Lytechinus pictus: one gene and its partner. The main gene of each other region encodes a partner of the protein of the gene in region 2 in a complex. Links are inferred from orthologs where the notes say so. Each region holds a gene or a part of one and is shown on either strand. Other genes may lie near its edges.

Evidence for each region.
Region 1: mitochondrial import inner membrane translocase subunit TIM50-like (region 2) and mitochondrial import inner membrane translocase subunit Tim21-like share a complex: the UniProt entries of both Homo sapiens proteins name them as parts of the TIM23 complex. The link is inferred for Lytechinus pictus from reciprocal best matches to the Homo sapiens genes TIMM50 and TIMM21.

Annotation. Positions count from the first base shown.
Region 1 is NC_087246.1:62,745,757-62,753,073, reverse strand, and holds the start of mitochondrial import inner membrane translocase subunit Tim21-like, read left to right. Parts: upstream 1-4,258; 5' UTR 4,259-4,518; intron 4,519-5,159; 5' UTR 5,160-5,318; intron 5,319-5,856; 5' UTR 5,857-5,885; coding exon 5,886-6,047; intron 6,048-7,243; coding exon 7,244-7,317. UniProt on the Homo sapiens protein: Participates in the translocation of transit peptide-containing proteins across the mitochondrial inner membrane.
Region 2 is NC_087251.1:24,158,324-24,165,525, reverse strand, and holds the start of mitochondrial import inner membrane translocase subunit TIM50-like, read right to left. Parts: upstream 3,063-7,202; 5' UTR 2,728-3,062; coding exon 2,346-2,727; intron 1-2,345. Other genes in the region: molecular chaperone MKKS-like, read left to right, coding at 7,180-7,202. UniProt on the Homo sapiens protein: Essential component of the TIM23 complex, a complex that mediates the translocation of transit peptide-containing proteins across the mitochondrial inner membrane. Has some phosphatase activity in vitro; however such activity may not be relevant in vivo.

The DNA.
Region 1 (7,317 bases), on a different chromosome or scaffold from region 2:
AAAAACTAGTCTTTTTACTTCACAATTTGAGTAGCGGTTGATCTTATTCACGATTTTCTACGGGGTGCCCGTAATCAGTATTTTTACGGAAATTTCACCTTTTTTAATAAAATTGGAAGAAGTTGACCAAAAAATATACAATATTCCGAAAGTGCTTCTTACGTCGGCTCGGTGTTCGTCAGGGCATCTCGTAATTACGGATAATTTTCGTTTCAGAAGGGGAAAAAGATGACACCAACATGACAATTTTTTCATGCCAGAACTCGAACACCCCGATTTATTGATATTTGCACTTCAACACGTAATTAATTAATGGTAGACTAGTCTTTATCAAGCATTAATTATGATCTCTTTTCTTTTGATATCAATTTGTTTTCTTTTATTTTTTGACCAAATGCTTTTTTCTTGTGTGTTAATTTGCCCATTATAATACACATATTTTATTATTTATTTAGTCTTTTTTTTTGGGGGGGGGTGGCAAATACTAAGGATTTAAAATGACCTTACATTTTGGGTGAACCCCCCCTTTTTTTTGCTTGTAAAATTTTTCTGTTAAAATAACATTACATTTTGGGTGATAACACTTTTTTTTTGCTTGCCATTTTTTTTTAAATAACCTTACATTATACTTTTGGTGATGACCTTTTTTTTTGGGGGGGGGGTTGTTAATTTTTTTTTTGGGGGGGGGTTAAAAAGGCCTTACATTTTGGGTGATAACCTTTTTTTTTCTTTGCTTGTCATTTTTTTAATGACCTTACATTATATTTTGGGGGATTTTTTTTTTTTGGGGGGGGTTGTTAATTTTTGGGGGGTTAAAAAGACCTAACATTTTGGGTGATAACTTTTTTTTTGGGGGGGGGGGTCAGGTCCCCCTACCTTTGGGGACAGATTTACGCCCATGTCAAATCTTTCTGTTAAAAGTACCTTACATTTTGAGTGATCTTTTTTTTTTTGCTTGCCATTTTTTTTAAATGACCTTACATTATACTTTTGGTGATAACCTTTTTTTTTTTGGGGGGGGGGGTTGTTAAATTTTTTGTTGGGGGGGGGGTTAAAAAGACCTTACATTTTGGGTGATAACCTTTTTTTTCTTTGCTTGTCATTTTTTTAAATGACCTTACATTATATTTTGGGTGATTTTTTTTTGGGGGGGTTGTTAATTTTTGGGGGGTTAAAAAGACCTTACATTTTGGGTGATAACCTTTTTTTTTTGGGGGGGGGGTCAGGTCCCCCTACCTTTGGGGACAGATTTACGCCCGTGGGAGGGTTTCCTTTTTATTATAATTTTTCAACCGTTTCCTTTTATTTATTTTTGTATAGATCGGGTGATTTTTTATCCTTCATATACAGACCTTTTTGGTCAGAATACCCCTATTTTTCATTTTTAATATTTCTTTATCGGGCGATTCTCCCTAATATTAAATTATTTTGATCCAATATCTAATTTTGGTCATATATCGAGAACCACCCCACGGATCCTTGAGACCTTGACTATGATTGATATATAATTTCATCTACATGTTGCTATTGTTGTCATCATTATCATTGTGACATTACTTTTGTCATTACTTTATATTAAAATTATAATCATTATCTCGAACATTCTTACCTTTTTCTGTGATGGTATGGCCAGGACCGAATCCATTTTTTTCTTTCTCTACATTCTAGGCTGGGTATTTTGCTCACTGTGGGCATGCAGGCTATGTATGAACAGTATATCCAATATGCAACGGCAGCACCAAGATTTTGACTAGGAGGCAAGTGGGGGGGGGGGGGGGTTGGTTTCAAAGATATATTTGGGGCCAAGTTTGGCAAAAGCACATTACAATTTACTAAACACGTTTTTCCAGGTTTATTTATTTTAAATTATCAGGGGACAACTGGGGAATGCCCCATAATGCCACCCCCCCCCCCTTGCAACCACTTTTAATTTGTATGCCATGGACAATGCCCTATTTTGATGGAATGAAGATTTTAATATTAACTATTTCTAAAAATTACAGGACTAATAACTCAACTAATACATGTTCTCTTAAGCTCCTTTTCTTATTTCCCTTTTTTTCCTCATTTTATCCCTTTATTCTATCAGGGGGTAATTGTTATTTTCACAGCCACGACTCATTGAACCCCCCCCCCCCCCCCCCCGTTGTATACTTTCCTGCACTTTTATAACATGATATTCTCTCTTTCTCTCCTATACTATAGAGGTGGATTTATTGTCATATTTACAAGAAGATCTGTAGGCCTACCAAGTCCATAAAGATGTCTTCTGTGGATAGGCTATACCTAGCCATCAATGTTCTCTGCGGTTATACATATACTTTGAAATGTAGAAAAAGATGCTTTTACTGTTAATATGGAAAGTTTATTTGTTTTTAATGAACAGTTTCACAGTGATCATATGATTAATAATGCTTTCACTGTTTCACAACTGAGACTGATTGAAAGATGAACGCAAAAGATTTTGAATTGAAAAAGACTACATCATTCATACTCATTGTGCTTTTTATTGCATAGTATATAAGCGATACAATTATGATTTTGATTTTGCTAATCCATAAATGATTGGTCTCAAAATAAATATGTTTCATTTATGATTACAGCATTTCATCATTGTAGAAATATTTATTCTGCTTAATTAATAAGTATAAGATACAGAATGGATCAAGAATAAAAATAAGGGCTGCAGTGATCAAGGAAAAAAAATGTCTACTGAAATGATGCATGACAGGCAATAATTTTCCTGGTATCGCATCGCAATTTGCTCCACACTTTTTAAAGACTGCTACGCATAAATTCTTTCGTAAAGCATATTTTTACATATAGGACTGTACATTACTTAGTTGAGAGCTAAATTATGACCAAAATGCTATTCGAATATGTAAGCAAAATTATTCCCTGCATGATATAACAATTACTTTTATTTGGTTGTCTCATCTTTCTTTCTTAAAAAAAAATGATTGACAGTCTATGATCACTAAAAACAATTTTTAAATCTCATTTTGGGACATGATAAATGTCTTTGTGTTATTATATTATAATTAATGCATTAATGCTCATAAGTAATTTATTGAAGTTGATGAAACCATTAAAAGTGCTTTATGAATATATTTTATGATTTTTTTATATTTATAATTCATTTATTCATTTTTATTTTTATTTATTTATTTATTTAAGTTGATAAAACAAATAAAAATTACTTATGATCTTTTTCAATTTTGTGTATTTATTTATTCATTTTTTTATTTACTATTACATGTATTTTTTATTTAGTTATTATTGTATTTACTGTATAGTTTCTGTTATGTTTTTGGAGATAAAGGAATCGATAATAAGGCAAGAGTGATCGATATATATATCATCAGTAAGTTATATTTTATTATGCAATCGGAATTGAGCGCCCATGCAGAGTGTGCTAAGGTAAGTGGTAAACTTCTATTTCGCACTTCTTTAGATGAACCAAGAAACCTGCAATAAAACACAGAAATCAAGTACCGGTAAGTGATATATGGAAATCAATAAATCAATAATGTTAAATCTCAATATGAATATAAAAAAAAAAACTGAAATACTCCTACTTGCCTCAATAAAAGTAGCGAGACAACAGACATGCATTGTGGTTATATCCTCCAAAATATATTCCCTACATGAATTACTCCATGAAATAAGTTCATATACTGGCAGAGAGAAATTATACCAATGTGATAATAAGTAATAATAACACAAATGATATAGGCCCATATGAAAGAAGATGCCAATGATGGTGATGATATTGATAACATTGATAATAGTAAATATTATTTTAAGAATGACAATAATGAAAATGACAATAGATATAAAAATATGATAATGAATCAATAACAATATTAATAATTTTATAAGTCATAGAAGAATAGTAATTGAGAGGAATACATAAAAAAGCTATTGCAAATAAATGTATCCATTCTCATTTTTCTAAATAAACAAATTAGAAAATCTATATGCACAAAACTCAAAATAAAAGTAAGTGATATGACTGAAATTATTCTAAAATTGAAATATAAATTAAATGTAGCAGAAACTCATTCAAACAATGAAATTTATGATTTAATGTATAAATAGTTGAAGAAATTAAAAAATAACTACATGGAAATAGATAAAGAGGTGAATTAAGTCAATAAACAATGAATTAACAACAAACCAATCATTTAATTATCACAGAGCGAGGGGGATATGATCGCGCGATCATCAACAGGCAAATTGTATTGCGCCATCTGGTGTTCGAATTCTGGCATGAGGTGTACGAATTCTGGCAGGCTCGAAGCCTTCGGCGATCGCCGCGCCACCCGAAACTTTCCCCAGAAAATCCAAATCGGACGGCACCTATGGAAAGCTTAGAATTTCGGCTACATCGCAAGCCCAAGAATGTAAGCCAGAAACACCGTAAATACATTTTATGCGACCTTTATTGAAAAGGTGTACGAGTTCTGGCGGTTATACGGTATGTCTGCTGTAGACAAAATGGAAACTCCAGTGAAAGTAAGCACTTTTTTTATTCACTCATATCATTGATGTTTATAATTTTGATCATTCCAAGTCGATGAAATATTTGCAAAAATATCTGTGTATTAATTTGAATCACGATTGGTACCGTAATTGTGAGACCCACGATGTTTTGAAAGACGTTTAATTCGTTCTGTTTTGTGTCGCAAGCGCTCGCGGTTGTCAGCGTCTTTGCCATGTCTATTGCCGCCGGAGCTTCGGCATGGTAATGTGACTCTGCGGGTTGCACTTGTGGCTCGAGCAGCTAGCAGCTACTGCTTCATGCTTCGGCACATTTGGAAAGATTTTATCTGTCAGTTGATTGTATTGGCCATTGTATTTCTATTGCTATGATCATATATTCTGATTTATGACTTATGTCATAAAATTTGAGTTTATACTAATTTGAATAAAAAGATTATTTAAGAATCAGACAAGCATATAATATAAATGAAGCTGAAAATTTGTATCCAATTCCAAATACAATTTTTTTTTGACATTTCATTTCAGATTTTATAGGTGACGATATGACATCACTCACATTATTTTTTTTTTTTGGGGGGGTATTTTATTCTATGAGAGAATAATCATTTAAAAATACTACTCTTGTTTTTTTTTCTTTATTGTTGGAAACAAAGTTTGATTCATCCCTGAATACTAAGTCTGACTAAAGTCCCGAAGAGTAAAGGGAGCTCCGGCCCGCGAAGTGGGCCTGGGCCCGGGATTTTGTGTCCGGGATTGTGTGTCCTGGGCCTGGGATTTGTGTGTCACGATAGACATTCATCCATATAATCGTAGTAAGTGCATAATTTCTGTTTCCACATTTTATTAAGATTACTATTGAGACCCCAATCTACCCCAGTGACAAACATTTCCTATTCAATTTTTTCTACAGAGAGGGTGCAATATATCACTAAATGCAGAGGAATCCAGCAACTGTTTGGAATTTTAGAGTTATATTCAGTATTCACTTTAATTTTGTATTTTCCTATAATAATAGGAACATATTTTAGAAATTTCGGCACAGGAAATATTATTTCTTTGCATGATAAATCAAGTGCGTAGCTTTAGGACCCCTTCTCCATTCGAAAAACAAGGCGGGATTTTCGTATTTAGTGAGTTTTTCTTGGTTAAGGATCTCTATAATATTGACCACAAATAAGTGAAAGATTATTTGTCCAAATATTAAGATGAGCAAAGTTTTTATCATTTGTAAACAAAGTGCGTAACTTTAGGTCCCCCCATCATACAGTTTTGAGCTAGATGGTCAAATTGCATTTTATATTTTTCCATTATATTATTTAAAACCATTAGCCTATTCTTATTTTGCCACAGGAGTCAAATGAGCAAAGCACAGATTGAAGATGTTGAATGAATTGAGTATCAGAGGGACGCAATACATCTTGACCTCACTGTCATACAGAGTGATACAGAGGTGCACATTATGCAGTACGAGGCCTTCAGTGGATAAATGGCAGAGTCCATATCGACAATTCACCCCTACTAGGCCATATTGTGTGAGGCAGGTAATTTATCCAAACCTGGTAGTAAAATGAAATCTGAGGTTCAAGCAGAAATATGAGAAAAAGCAGGTTGCTGAACAAAATTATGAATAATCATGTAGAAGTCCAACGGATATAGTACTTGAATATTATAAAAAAAGATCACCAAGTCTGTGCTCATCTTGAATTGGCAATATACATTAATAGTTAGTTGATTCTAAAAAGGGAAGGGATAGGCCTATCAACCCTCAGATGTGTCTTAAAAATTAAAATGTGTATTGATTTTGGGTTACTCTCCAATTCCTGTTTCTTCAGGTTGTAGTAAAAAAAACATTGTATAAAATATTTTGATTGGTTCTCAGAAAGGAAAAAAATTGGTGAAAAATTTGTAAAATTATTGCATTATAATATTTTTTTGTGAATTTACAAATTACTATAAAATTGCATCGCTGGGACTATGAATATACATTGAGAAAAAGAAATCATCCTAATTGTTTGTCTTGTATTTGATTTACACAATACTTATTTTCCATCTTTCACAACTTTTCCATCTTTCACATCTATTTGGGATGTATTTACATGCTTTCACTATACCTTTATTAGATTTCATTTTATTTTGAGCACCGGAGTGGAAAGGACAGGCAGGAATAAATATTCAAATTTTTGTCTGATCATAAATTTTAAATAGAATTGAACATTAGGTCCAAAATTTCATATTGAAGCAACCCCTTTTTCCATCTTATTGCTGGAAAAATGTATGAATAACAAGACAAATCTCTTTATGATATACCTTAAAATATAACACCCAGGCTTGTTATTCTAAGGCCATGGTCATGGGTGCCCTCTTGACTGGCCTTGATTCCTCTCTCATTGGCCTTTTTTCATTCCACATTTGTGTGATCATACAAAAATGTGGAAATTGGCCTTGCCCTGAAATTATTTCAAATTTTTAAAGTCTGTAACACTAATTTGTGTTTGCCTCTGTGGTGGTTCTCATCAAATCTTGGTCAGCAACCGGATGAGGGTGTCTTGTCTCGAATCATGGACATAGATGTAGACCTAATTGTGATTTTAGCTCAACTTTTTTTACCTCTTTGCATTTGATAGTGTTGAAGTTTTCTCATGTGATTTTTAGCTTTTTATCTAGCTCTTTAAATATATTTGTAGTAAAGAAAATAATGCTTCTGTTATCATTTTCCATTAATGATCCTTTACGATAGAAGTTTCCAGATCAGAATGTGATCTGTCATCGATGGTTCTCTACTACTACGAGGGGCACTCAACAGAGAAAAGC
Region 2 (7,202 bases):
TTCATCTGATGAGGCAATAATCCCTTCAGTGAATTAAGCAACAAACTAAAAAAGGATATATAATGCCTCATCTACCAAACAGTCACATTAAATGTTGACAATATAGTAAAATGTTGCAAGGTTTGACTTAAAAAAAAAAGAGTTAACCTGCTAAGCCCCTTAACTTACCAGAATGAAATGTAAAGAGTGACTTGAAATTAACATTTGTATCTTAATTGAATATATATTGGGCAGCGACAAATAAAAAAAGGGGTAAGGTAAATATTTTGCATAGGTCATGTTTCTATATAGCATCAAAGTGCATTGAGCAAATGTGTCAATATAATAAAGTTTTATCATTAATATGTCATTGCTTTTCAATTCTGAAAAAGGCAAAACAGCATAAGAACTGAACTATCATCCTTAATATCCATATTCTTTTTTCTTTGGGGGGGGGGGGTGTGGTGATTGTGCATGAAGTCTCAACTAAACAAAACAAAAACAGTTCAAAAATTGGCTTGAATATGAAATTTCTGTTACATTTAGAAAATAAATACCCATGGACCTTTCGCCTACTGTACAAAACTGTTAGAAAAGAATTATAACAATAAAGACGAAGGTGTTATTGTTTATAAAAGTGGAATCGTTTGAGAGACCATTCACATCATTCATTCAATATGTTCGATACAATTTAGAACATGACTGCACAAGAAATATTTAGAGACCATTTTTTTTTTGGGGGGGGGGGGTTCATATTTGCTTCAAAGCGAATACCCTGGCAGCAAACAACAATATGACAAGAAGTGAACCTATCATCCACACATAAAATAAATGAGCAACTGAGAAGCTCCGAGTCTTCTGACCTCAGTGAAACAAAATTGCCTTGTTTAGTGGTTGTTGTTGTTTCTTCAAGTTGAATTCTTTTGCAAAGGAAGTCTCCAATCAATATGTAAGATTGTCACCCATATTGACTTTGGCCAATGTCTAGGTGGTACTGAACTTCTTATTATTTTTAAAAATTGAATAACACCATCACCTTCAATATCTAATTGATAAAAAATGTGTGTTATAATAATTAATATGGTCACCCATATCAGATAGCATCTAGCTTACTTTACTTTACTCAAAGGGAAGTTCACCCTGAAAAAAAGAACTTTGTTATAAAAACAGCAGAAAAAAAAAATGAATATTGGTCTGAGATATCCATTTAAAATGACAACTCATTGATGATATGTAGGAAAGCTGCTTGCATATGACGTCACAAAAGACACAAATCAAATAGGCCTAGATCTAAGTTGTTTATTCTTTGTTGGTTTTTCCTCAAACCTTCACCAATATTATCCTGATTTGTTTTTTATCAAAATTCGCTATTTTCCAGCATATTTTTCGGAAAGGAGGTAAGCTGATTCATTGTATTTAATATAAATTTATCTTTAATCATTTCTTCCTTTTTTCCCCCATCAAAAAGCAAAATTTAGGAGTAATACAGGAGGGTGCAAAATCGCACCCTTTTCTCCATTAAAGCTGTAATTAAGGCATCAGTGGAGCTCCACCATTACTACGGCCAAATGGCCGTCATCCGTCAAAAAAATCAGAAAATGTTGAAAAACTCCTCCGAAACAGCGGATCTAGTATGGCAGTGAGTCCAAACATCGCGGACGGTCATTACCTAAAAAACTAGCCAATATCCTTAAAATCTGACATCATCAACGTGAAAAGCGACCTAAAATTACCCTTCGGTGTAAGTTTCTTTAGGATGAGTTCAGTATTCATGAAAATATTGGCAAAAGATCGGCAAATTTGTCACCGTTAGCGCCCGTTTTGAAGAAATCTGATATTCTCAACAAGCATCACGATATCACCATTTTGCAAGCAGAAATCATCAAAAGTGTGAGTTAAATGTGGTACTAACCGATTCTATGGCATTTTGCCATCAATCTGATATAAATATGTCACTTTTTGAGCTTGAGTTTTTTTTTTAATTTCCACAAAAACTTTGGTCCGCGAAATAAGGTCACACTTTTTCTGAACGGTTTTCCAGCACAGCGCACATTCGCCGATCGGAATATAAATTTGAGATCGCGATACCGGCGAAACCCCTTGACCTACTTTACATTTTCGTCCATGATTTTATAGTTTACGATCTTGCTGTCAATGTGGTAACTATTTCTTGAATTGGTTTTGTATAAATTATGAATATTTTGTGGAAAAATTTTTGTGCCTGATGAATATTTTTGAAAAAGGGCGCGAAGTTTGGACACCCCATCAACATATGTTATAACTAACTGGTTAGGAATAGTACTAAGACTAGAGTAGACTCAAAAGACAAGTAAAGATTAAAAAGAACAAGGTGAAGGTCGGGATACCTAATTCATAAACAGTCAATAATGATGCTCCAACAAGCATTCCCCCCGTGATGCGCATTGCCCACTTCTGGATGCGTGCCGTTCTCTTTTTTCGCTCCTCCTTCTTCTTCCGGTCATCCTCTGTTTCTCGTTTCGCCTTCTCCTCGGCCTCGCGGAGCATTGCCACCAATGGCATCGCACTTTCCGTCGGCTGATTAGGCTGTTTTTCCTCATTTCTGAGCAATGTAGTCACTGATAATGGGCGAACTAATAGCCTGGCATGATTATTTGAAGACGGTAAAGTTCTACAGTTAGTGCTATGATCCGCAGTCCTTGTTCTTGCTGCATTCGTACCCAAAAATCGTAACCATTGCCTCACGCACGTTCCACTGAGCGCTGCCATTTTGTCAACTTCATATTAACTCAACATAAGAGGGCGACATGACAAAGCGATCTTGTGTAACCAAAATTTATGCGCGATGCGGCCGATGTCGACGCTGTCAGCTGATAACTTCTGAAAAGGCAAGTACAAGATCTAGATCTAAATAATTTATATTTCTACCAATCGAATAGGAACATAATATGGATTCTTAAATATATCACAATCATGTTATGATTTCAATCTACGGTAAGTAGTATTGGTCCCATCGGATCTTCCAAGTTGCCATACCAATTTCACATTTTGTTCGGTCCCACATATTGATATTCTTGTGACCAGTAAGTAAGGCGGAGAGAGAGAAGGGGGGGGGGGGGCTACCTCACTTATTAAATGGACGGATGATGTAACATTCATTTATTTGTTATTCCTAATTCTGCCAACAATATGGCTTTTAGGAGAGGCTTTTACTCTCAGCTGCCATATCCACAAGATCAAGTGCAACCACTGCAAGTCCATGATATTTTGTCGGTTTTCGACATGGTCGGTCATTGTCAAATAAATAGGCCTATATGTCACAATAATTGTCTTATTGAATAAATTCACCATTGGCATGGCATTGGCATTGCCTGAATTGTTATCAATTTACAACTGAAAAAAATGTATCATGTGCTGGATTCAAACCATGCCAATCATGCAATACAACAATAATGCAGCATAAAGCTTTTACCTGACACCCACTGCTAGTTTAACCACTCAAACATGAGCAATTGACAGCAGAAACTGTTCTAAAATATTTATTATAGAAATTTTCACCATATCACTCTAATGATATCGTAGGTAGGCTTTTTGCCAATTTGTGGATTGCTGGGTATAGTGTGCTTATTCAGCCCTTAATTTGATTCTGTAGAGTACTCCTTTCATGACTTAGTTAGTGGATGGGAATTGGATTCGGCTTATTTTGGTGGAGGACATGGGCACTCACACTAGTGCGAGGTTAGAATTTAGATAGCTAAAATAACCTCGCACACCCGACCATGTTTGGGTTGTCAGACCTGACAACTTTCCTTGATTGTGCTGAGAAGCACTGTTTCTTTGGTAACTGTCGGATGAAATACGACTTAGTAAATAAAGAGGCTTTAATATGAGGTAATAATAATTTGTGAACAAATTTTCGGCATTACTCCTATGTGTTTAAGATGCTCGATCTGTAATGAAAATGGGATAAAACGTCCCACAAGTCCTTTCATGAAACGCTCCCCAGAAATCAGATCCACCTGATATGAGTGCTGCTTTAAGTAGGAGGACTCAATCTCATTTTATCAGGACATGATTTGTCTTAGACTTGGTTAACGAATGATGAATTGAAGATATATTTTTTTTCTATTGCAGAGTCATTCAAGACTTGTTTCTTCTGACTTCTGGTAACTTGAACTTGATGTACTCCTGGTCTGAATAAGATGAAGAACTGAGGTTCCATCTAAAGTTATAAACTAATCTTGATTTATTTTACCCTTTTATTTCAGTTTGTTGCATTTGAGTTCTGAAAGAGAAAGAAAACGTTACCTGCATCATGAATCCACCAAAGAAGAACTTTTTTGTTCGTAACAGGGTACTCTTTGTAGGATTAATAAGTATTTCACTCATTCACGTTGGATGGTTCCACATTGCCAATGATCCTGTCTTCAATAAAGAAGCTGGACACTCAAAGAAGAAAATTTCAGATCGTCTTCCAGCTTATATCAAATCAAAGGCTTTGAAATCACCAGCTGAGAAGTCCAATTAGTCGTAAGTATAGTTCTGTAGTAAGAAAATGTGAAATTTATCCATTTTAAAGTAATGATATATAACAGCAATGCAATATTTTTGGAACCCATTTTCACCATTTAAGATGGATGTATTTCATAAGGAGAAGGGAAGTAGTAATTTTTATTTTAATTTTTTTTTCAATATTTGACAGTTCACTGATAATTTTTTTTCTCATTAATTTTGCTTGGAGGATGTATTTCTTCATTATTATTGTTAAATTAATTTAATATTAATGTAAAGCAATGATATGTAAAAGAATATAATGCATGCAGAGCCCATGTGTTCAGTATTGTATTTTTAGGTTTGACAGTCAGCAAAGGGGAGTGTCCTCCAATTATGAGCTAAATCACACAGTAGGCATCCTGCAATATGCATACCGGTACATACTTTATCGAGTGTCTTGATGATATCCTTTTTAAAAACAGTTGAAAATGTATTGTGACTTTTAATTTAAACTTAATGACAGGAATGTTCGGAAGCTTACTTTGATCCCAGTACCTTTGTCAATTTTGTCCGTGTGAATGTTGAAAAGATAAGCAGAAATTATTCCTTCTTGTAGGGATATATTATAAGACTACACAATCAAGATAAAATCAAGATTTTGCATGGATTAGGACCCAGGAATAATAAAGTACTATCTAACCTTGTTTATCTGAATGCTGCAGGAAACATTTTCCATCCTTGTAGTAAGATGTTGAGCTATAAGAGTAATATAGTAGGACATCAGTTGAATAGATAAAGGAGTTTATTGCTGTATATTATTTTTTTCGTGGGGTTCTGGATGATAACAAAATTACTGCCTATTTGAATTTGTGTCTACAAACTGAAATAATGAAATAATAGAAAATTACTAAGGTTTCTGGGTCTATTCAGGAGAAAGATGTGGCTAGTTATAGAGTTGTCCAAGTGAACAAGGTTGATAGTTAAGGATTTGAGTAGATGCTCTTCAAAGTGACTGCGGACTTTGGCTATAAATGTCTATTTTGGTCTTCTTTTTAAAACAAATTAAAAAAACTGACTGATGTTCATGTATACTTCTTGTCTTTTGTTTTTTGCAGATCACTGGAGTACCAATACCTGTGCAATCAGTGGAGAATTTAGGACATACCAAAAACTTTTGAAATTTAATATCTCCGAAGGACATATTATTACCATGGGTCTCAAAAAGATTATAATGGAACACAAGTTCATGAGTGTTGGAATTGCTTTGGTCACGACCCACCTTTTGATCTACAATGTTCAGAAGATAGCAAAAACTTCAGCTAGGATTGAGGATAGAAAAGAACACGATACTGTACTTGTTATTGGGAAAGATGAGAAGTAAATCATCTAGCTGATCAAGGTAAAATTTTATTGCAATCAATTTCTATGTTTTGTGGAAAGATATTTTTTGTCTCACCTGCATAGCAGAGTGAGACTATAGGCGCCGCTTTTCCGACGGCGACGGCGGCGGCGGCGACGGCGGCGTCAACATCAAATCTTAACCTGAGGTTAAGTTTTTGAAATGACAGCATAACTTAGAAAGTATATGGACCTAGTTCATGAAACTTGGCCATAAGGTTAATCAAGTATTACTGAACATCCTGCCTGAGTTTCATGTCACATGACCAAGGTCAAAGGTCATTTAGGGTCAATGAACTTAGACCATGTTGGGGGAATCAACATCAAAATCTTAACCTAAGGTTAAGTTTTTGAAATGTCATCATAACTTAGAAAATATATGGACCTAGTTCATGAAACTTATACATAAGGTTAATCAAGTATCACTGAACATCCTGCATGAGTTTCACATCACATGACCAAGGTCAAAGGTCATTTAGGGTCAATGAACTTTGGCCGAATTGGGGGTATCTGTTGAATTACCATCATAACTTTGAAAGTTTATGGATCTGATTCATGAAACTTGGACATAATAGTAATCAAGTATTACTGAACATCCTGTGCAAGTTTCAGGTCACATGATCAAGGTCAAAGGTCATTTAGGGTCAATGAACTTTGGCCAAATTGGGGTATTTGTTGAATTACAGCCATAAATTTGAAAGTGTGTTGGTCTAGTTCATAAAACTTGGACATAATAGTAATCAAGTATCACTGAACATCCTGTGCGAGTTTCAGGTCACATGATCAAGTTCAAAGGTCATGTAAGGTCAAAGAACTTTGGCCACGTTGGGGGTATTTGTTGAATTGCCATCATATCTCTATAAGTGTATTGGTCTAGTTCATAAAACGTGGAAATAAGAGTAACCAAGTATCACTGAACATCTTGTGCGAGTTATAGTAGTTTTCAAAATCAGCACTGCTGCTATATTGAATCGCGTGATGCAGGTGAGACGGCCAGAGGCATTCCACTTGTTTCTTTTTTGAGTTCTATAAAGATATTATGAAATTGTACTTACTATTGGGCAAATCAGCTATCAAAATGTAGAAATTATATCTGTTGCTGTTTATTTTGATATATCAGTCAGTGTTCACATTCTAATCCTAATTTCAGGTGATTTGATTTATTTGGAAAATAAGACTAACTGTCTCAGCTTCCTACATTGAATTTATTTTACATTCAAAGGATGACAATGATATCATGTTGAAGATGGCTGCCAACTAGTTAAATGAGTGCAGATCTTGTATCAGAGTTAGCCTTGAATTAAGAAGTGTTTTATTTTATTTTTCCAGATGTGTGCTGCATCTCCAGGAAC